Oreochromis niloticus: one gene and its partner. The protein of the gene in region 2 purifies or fractionates together with the protein of the main gene of each other region. This does not show direct contact. Links are inferred from orthologs where the notes say so. Each region holds a gene or a part of one and is shown on either strand. Other genes may lie near its edges.

Region 1 (3,753 bases), on a different chromosome or scaffold from region 2:
ATACTCGCTGACCTGCTCCTGCAGCATATAGTACTCTCCTGTATCGTCTGGTGGCCATTTGTATTCCGTCAGGTTTTCTGCTGGGAAATACGTCGGACTGGAAAGGAAGGTTGGAGGGACAACAGAGTTTGATGATTGGAAAAGATTTTGTGAGATTAATCTTAGCTGATATAGACAAGAAAATCGCCACTGGAAGAACTAAATAGACATCAATACTGACAGTTACAGCTTTTAGGGTTTATCATATACAAGTATATTTTGGGGATATAGTAAAATAAAAAAAGAATGTGACATATGGTAACAACAAATTTTCTGTCCTACTTGGTTGTCAAGAATGCTTGAAAATTATGCCAGTGGATGTTTCTTGCTGAATGCTAAACCAGCTTACCCAAGATCTTGACTTGAGGTATCACAGCTTCGAGAGCTGTCCCCTGAGCCCATTCTCCTTCTCTTGGGAGGTTGGCTGCCATCATTGGACACTTCTTCTATGACATCCTCCTACAGAGGAAAAGAAAAATCAGAATTAATTTTTAACATTAATTTTTAACATTAACATTACATAATGTGATGTTTGAAAACTCCAGAGCATGAAGTATATCCACAAAACTTTTAAGAGCTTTCTGATTTTGTATTGGACACTTTCATGACACAGAAATGAATAGAGCCCAAATTAATTTTTGCTTGGTAAACCTGAACCCTAGGACTCATAATTGCAGGATTCATCTTCCTGTTGCTACAGCAAATTTTAACATGTGATTCTGCAAGTGGTGGGCCCATCTGACCCACTTGGTTCCTGACAGAGTTTACATTCTATCATCGCGTAGGACCAATTTGCCTTGAGAGACCCCACTAGAAGCTCCCAGGATTACTTGGTTGACACCATGTTAATGTGACCTCCTAGATGAGTTGTTTCATATTTTAAGATAAGACCCAGGATGTGCTGGAAAGATTACTTCTCTCAGCTGGCCTGGTAACATCTTAGAATCCCACCAAGAAAAGATAGAAGAGGGGGCCGGGGAGAGAGAGGTCTGGGCATCTCTGTTTAGCTTGCTGTATCCACAAATCAGGCCCACTTAATGGCTGAGCAGTGCATACTTTTACTATAAATGAATCACAGAGTGTATTTAAACTGAGTGTGCTTTTCTGTATATGCTCCTCAGGCATGAGATAAAAATCACACACAGTGCACACTACTGCTATTTTAGACATGATAGTATTTCCCGGCCTGATGAAAACTTTTTAAACAACTGCAAAAGTAAACATTTAGAGATTTAGCCGGTTTAATACAGAGGGTTCATTTTGAAACACACTAAAAAATTATTTCAGATAAGGATATTTCCCCTCTTACATAAACACGAAGCTTTATTGAATATTATTGACGGTAGAGTTAATTTATAATGGTGCTAAATACAGACCAAAACAAATGTATGAGTTTACACGCCAAAGCTGGCTGACAGAAGGAGCACAAATTGTCAAATCACTTATAATATTACAACATTAAACGTCGCGTTTTTACTTAGATCATTCAAAAAGTACACAGACCAGATCACTGCAGATACATAAAACGAGGAAATTCAAACCGAACGAGCTAACTAACCAATTACTACACAGCTGAAAACAAAGGAGTGACGCTAATGTGGCTACTGATCGTCAATCATGGACTAAAGTGTCCCATAAATGGCCAGTTAGCTATTAGCTCAGGCTATAGCCGTGCAGAGCCGAGGGAACTGAGCTAACAGAGACTCATGTTTTTATTATTAGTATTATTAATATTGTTATGGCGTACAAATGTCACCTTTATGGATTGTGCTCCGGGGGTAGCGGGGTTGCTATCGCAGGGCGGCCTGACGGGGAGCACAGCAGCCATATTTTTTGCTAAATGATTTCTGCAGCTAGGCTAGCATACTAGCTCGTTACTTCTTCGTTGAGAAGTTTCGCGGCTGTTGGCGAGCGTTGAAACATGGCCGACACCTGCTGGACTGGAGGGCTGGCTTCAGGACAGGACTGGGACTGTGTGGTATAATTTTAATTATTATAGACAGTTAAAGTAAATTCATGGTCGTTACAATCTGCATAAATTAAAACTACGTTTGATGAGAAGTTTGAACAAGTTTTAGTTATATTAACCCTTACATGCTGTTCACGTGTCATGCTTTGACAACGTGGTTTAGGCCAGTTTTGACATAGGCCAAGAATTCCCTCATAAAAAGTACCTGCAACGAATTTTGAACCACACAGTAGCGGTTTTTGATATGGGCGACATGGGCGGTTGCCCAGGCCAACATCATGATGACATCAGGTGCATGTGGCTTTTGTCATAGAATGTTGAAAGATAAGATCAAAGGAACATGCCTCATGACATCAGGTGCATGTGGCTTTGATCATAGAATGTGGAAAGGCATAAATAGAAGCTGATCCTTAATTATACAGACATATTACTTTGCTCTACACAGAACATCTGTACTAAAGCAAAATTTAGCACAAGAGAATAACCACTTAAAAAAACAAACAAAAGAAAAACACCCAACGAAAACATGTCTAAAATGCCTGAAAGTGAGGAAAAAAACAGAATAGAAATGACAGAAAAATCCAGTGCATCTGGTGAAAGCAGTAAAACTTCTACCATTTGCCTGGCTTATGTCACATATGAGATACATCATTTCTCAAATGTGGGAACGCAAGAAGAAACATGCCTGCCAAAAGTCACACCAAACCCTGGCCAAAAAAAAGAAGAAATGAGGAATAAATCTAAAAGAGTAGGACGCAGCTGTCTCTGTGCAGTTCCTACTGGTTCTTTGCCTAAGTTACCACAGAAGCCAGCCTGCCGTACTGGACCAAAGCCAGCCACTGTGACCGTTAAAACTAGGATGGTGCCAGACAGGAAACGGACCCAAAATAACCCAAACCAACAAAACTTGAGCAATCTATCTAAAAGACCAGGAAGCAAATGTCCAGTTGTAATTTCTACTGGTTTGTCGCCCACTTTAGCACGGAGGCCACTCCCTGATATTCCATCAAAGGCACCCACTGTGAGTGCTAACACTAGGAAACATATACCAGTTAATCTCATGGTGCCAGACAGGAAAAGGACCCAAAATCACCCAAACCAACAAAACCTGAGCAATCTATCTAAAAGACCAGGAAGCAAATGTCCAGCTGTAATTCCAACTGGTTTGTCGCCCATGGTAGCACAGAGGCCACTCCCCCGTATTCCATCAAAGGCACCCACTGTGAGTACTAACACTAGGAAAAATATACCAGTTAATCTCATGGTGCCAGACAGGAAAAGGACCCAAAATCACCCAAACCAACAAAACCTGAGCAATCTATCTAAAAGACCAGGAAGCAAATGTCCAGCTGTAATTCCAACTGGTTTGTCGCCCATGGTAGCACAGAGGCCACTCCCCCGTATTCCATCAAAGGCATCCACTGTGAGTACTAACACTAGGAAAAATATACCAGTTAATCTCATGGTGCCAGACAGGAAAAGGACCCAAAATCACCCAAACCAACAAAATTTGAGCAATCTATCTAAAAGACCAGGAAGCAAATGTCCAGGTGTAATTCCTACTGGTTTGTCACCCATGTTAGCACAGAGGCCACTCCCCCGTATTCCATCAAAGGCACCCACTGTGAACGTTAACACTAGGAAAACTTTACCAGTTAAACATCACATGGTGCAAGGCAAGAAAGTAAGCTCACCCAGTAAATCTCTACCCAACTCAGCCAAAGACACCGTGAACCGTGGTAAGT
Region 2 (3,753 bases):
CAATAATATTTGATAGAAACTCACAGGAAATACAGACAGGTCAGGGGCTGACAGCAAAGCCAGGAGTGAATGGACACCACCATGTGAGATCACTAGGTCTCTGGAACTGGGCCCATCACCTAAATATAGAGGGAAAAAAACATCTTTAGAGTAATCAGAAAAAAGGCACATAAAGGCAGATACTTTGAAACTACACAAGGTTAGCAAAGATAAAATTTCAGACTTCTAGTTTTTAGCTTAATCACGTTTGGAAAATGGACCCAAAGTGGGACTCAGCAACAACACACTTTTTACTGTATACATACAGAAATGCACTCTAAAGCCTTTAATATCACAGGCTAAATGGAACTCCAGATGAACTAAAGTGGGCACAATTGTCCACAATAATCTACAACGCATCCTGACATCAAAACTATCAGAACATACACCTGGAACAGTGTAGGATGTAGTAATGCACAGAAGTACATCAAATCACATCAAATCCAAAGAAAGAGGTTGAGTTTTGTGAGCCACAGTACCTGCAATGTTACCCAGAGCCCAAATGGCCTGTTCGCTGATGTGCTGATGGGGTGATGTCACCAGGCTGATGAAAGCTGGAATGGCCCCTCCATCTATTACAGCAGAAGTCTGGTCTGAAGTACCTGAGGCAATGTTAGTCAGGGCCCAAGCTGCCTCAAATTGGATGGGGGGGCATTCAGACAACGCCAGAAAACTAACAAACGTTGGGATGAGTCCAGCAGCAATGATGCTGTCAATAGGTGGCTGTTTTTCTCTGGAAAGTAGCCTTCTGTGAATCAGAAAAACAGAGTTGGATCGTTGTTAAAATTGAAGTAACTTAAAAGTAAAGGAAAATCAGTTTTCACACTGCTTAATATCATTGATATAGTAATACCAGTGATATAACTACAGGCAGATAGAGAGTGTTACAGAAGGAGGACAAAGAATAAGAATAGTACAGTGTACAACAAATAAACAAAGTTAAAGTGCCACAGGCCCATAGTGAGCCCCTTTTACTGGGAGAAAGCGCAAACATTTCATATATATACGACACCAATTTAAAAAAAAAAAAAAAAAATGAGGTTAAGTTTAAAAAAGTAAAAAACTGAGTGTGCAACAGAGTGGTGCAAATTGCACTGATAAAAAAAATATGTACACTATAATACACTACAAAAACACAAGTGCCTCGTTACGCAACCTTTTTTTTTCTTCCAGCTTGAGGTTGTCACTGAGCAACTGTCTCACACTTCCACACCCACACACAGTCAATTAACCTAACATTACAAGTATTACCTGGCTGCCTGCGTTGCCTGCAGCTTATAATCTAAATTCTCGCTGTTTACACCTCCGACAATTTCCTCTACAGTCCAGTGATGAGGAGGCTATGAAAACAGAAAGAGAAATGAAAGGGGATTACTGCCAATAAAACCAGAGCAGCTAAAAATAACACATTTAGAGGAACTTGCTTTGAATGTTTTTAGGTCATGGTAACTCAATCAGGGGAACATAGATCAATTATAAATGGACTTTTCATAAATTATCAGAGATACAACTTTTTAAAAAGTCAACAGTCTGTTATCACCAGACAGACACCTGCTCCAAGATTTAGTGACCTTTGGATAATGCTCGCAAATTGAGCAGGCTTAGCTTTTTTTCTTCCTGTGTGCATGCTCTGCAGAGGTGTTCATTTGGAGGCTGTTACATCCTGTTTATAACGAGTTAACTTCTGTAATAATCCAATGTTTCAAACAAGTTAAGCAGCTGTGGTTATATCAGGTGGGTCACCTTTACTCTCACAGCCAAACAAAACACAGAGGAGCTGCTGATTACCCTTACGTTGGGGTCTTTCTCTTGCAGAGGGGACGTTGGTTCGTCCAGAAGGCTGTGGACGTTTCTCCTCTTGAGGATGTGATCATCCTTCTTGGCTCTTCGCAGCTCCACATTGACTTCCGCTCTTCTGCGCCTCAGCTCCTGATCATACCGACAGACAAATAAAAGATATACCACAGCATTCAGGGCATTTGGGATACCGAATTAACTCTGACGTTTACTGCTAGGTTCAGAGCTTACATCAGCATCTTTTCCTTTATTTTTGAACTGGTTGAGTCTCGCTCCGTTGTCCGTGCCCGCTGACATTCCTGACCGTTGAGCAACACAATCGCTTCCACTAAAATCAGGCGCTACCTGTAATAATTTCACAACGACAAAGAATAAGCGGCAGCAGCCACGGTTGCTTTTAGTTTCAGGTGTCAACTAGTAAGCAGGCGCTGAGCTAGCTAACCAGGCGGTTATCTCGAAGCCAAGCCGGTTATCTAACACCATGTGGCCCTTCAGATATAGGGTCTGTCTAATAATCTAAAAACCCGCTGAAGCTCAGAAAACAAAGGTTATACGCTGTATTAGCAATTACAAAAGGTCAATAGCAATTTCAATTAGACAAAAAACAAATAAATGCACTATTAGCCACATAGCATGTACAACGTGCTTACCGTTCAGAATTCTTGTATTCTTTTAATATATGCACAACGTCACGTAACAACGTTCCAATTTTTCTGATTTTTAATTGGCCAGTTGGATTTTTTAGCACCGCCTCATTGGTCACGTTTAAGGAAAAAACCATCAAACAACAAATATGTTGTCAAAGGCAACCGCTGTCAGTATCGCGAGAAAACATGTTAACGTTTCTGTGCGGTAGCTTGTTCTTCTTGTGCTAAATGCTATTGCTGGGTTGTAAATTTTATCATGGCTAATTATTCCTCTTTTAAATAAAAAATACATGCAATTTTTACTATCAACTAAATGAATTATACCACTGACTACATATTCGATTTTCTATTTTCATGACTGAATTTTCCCTACCTGTGCGACGTAATGACCCAGTGGCCTAATGGATAAGGCATCAGCCTCCGGAGCTGGGGATTGTGGGTTCGAGTCCCATCTGGGTCGTATTTAGCTTCCTTTTCAGGGTTCTACTGTGAGCTCTTTCACAGATTCAGAAACAAGAATATTGGAACATTGGAACATCCGGTTGTACATTGTGTGATAATACTAACGAGACATTTTTTTATTTTTATTTTTTACAGTCATTGGGTTGAACATATGACCAGCGATGAATCCTGTAACAAGCTGTTTTCAACATTTTATGGTTTGTGCCTTGTTCATAAACCCATTCAGTTGATCTGCACAGTTATATTTGATATATATAAAATGTTAAAAAAAAAAAAATGAAAAGAACAAAAATCTCTCTACAGGTAACATACAGCAGATCTATGAAAAAGGGCCTCAAAGAACCTGTACCACAATATTATGGCTATCTAAACCGTCTGTAGCACAGCCACAACCATCCTGGAGACAATGAGGAGCAGTAAACCACTGTCTTATTGGCGACAGGGCAACAGAAATAGCAGCAGCTAACTGCTCTGTAAATATATCTGAATAACACAAAGTCATAAATATATATATTCAAAACAGGTTATTTGTTTATATCTTATTGACTACAGCCTATTTAACAATATAAGCCAACATATCAGACATTAAAAAACACATCTGCCATCACTGTTTTCAGATGTCTCTATTTCTGCTCAGCAGAGGGCAGTGAATACACATGGATCAGTCAGATCTAAAAACTGTATTTAAATTAAGTGAGGAAGGATGTTAACTTAGAAAGTCTTATTAGCTCTTGTTCCTAATTAGTACCTATTTAATATAACTAGGCTATTTATTATTAAATAACTAAAAAGCCCAGTAATGCAACTT

What was found. The genes of interacting proteins can lie anywhere in the genome.
Region 1: the proteins of importin subunit alpha-1 (region 2) and phf10 purify together in Homo sapiens (co-immunoprecipitation; 3 studies listed by BioGRID and IntAct, with this or other methods). This does not show direct contact. The link is inferred for Oreochromis niloticus from reciprocal best matches to the Homo sapiens genes KPNA2 and PHF10.

The regions. Positions count from the first base shown.
Region 1 is NC_031965.2:25,545,919-25,549,671, forward strand, and holds the start of phf10 (PHD finger protein 10), read right to left. Parts: upstream 2,269-3,753; 5' UTR 2,134-2,268; intron 2,011-2,133; 5' UTR 1,868-2,010; coding exon 1,787-1,867; intron 499-1,786; coding exon 389-498; intron 98-388; coding exon 1-97. Other genes in the region: mucin-17-like, read left to right, coding at 2,535-3,753. UniProt on the Homo sapiens protein: Involved in transcription activity regulation by chromatin remodeling. Belongs to the neural progenitors-specific chromatin remodeling complex (npBAF complex) and is required for the proliferation of neural progenitors.
Region 2 is NC_031971.2:28,190,653-28,194,405, forward strand, and holds the start of importin subunit alpha-1, read right to left. Parts: upstream 2,633-3,753; 5' UTR 2,487-2,632; intron 2,476-2,486; exon of another isoform or gene 2,182-2,475; 5' UTR 2,134-2,181; coding exon 2,068-2,133; intron 1,969-2,067; coding exon 1,828-1,968; intron 1,380-1,827; coding exon 1,291-1,379; intron 788-1,290; coding exon 519-787; intron 120-518; coding exon 25-119; intron 1-24.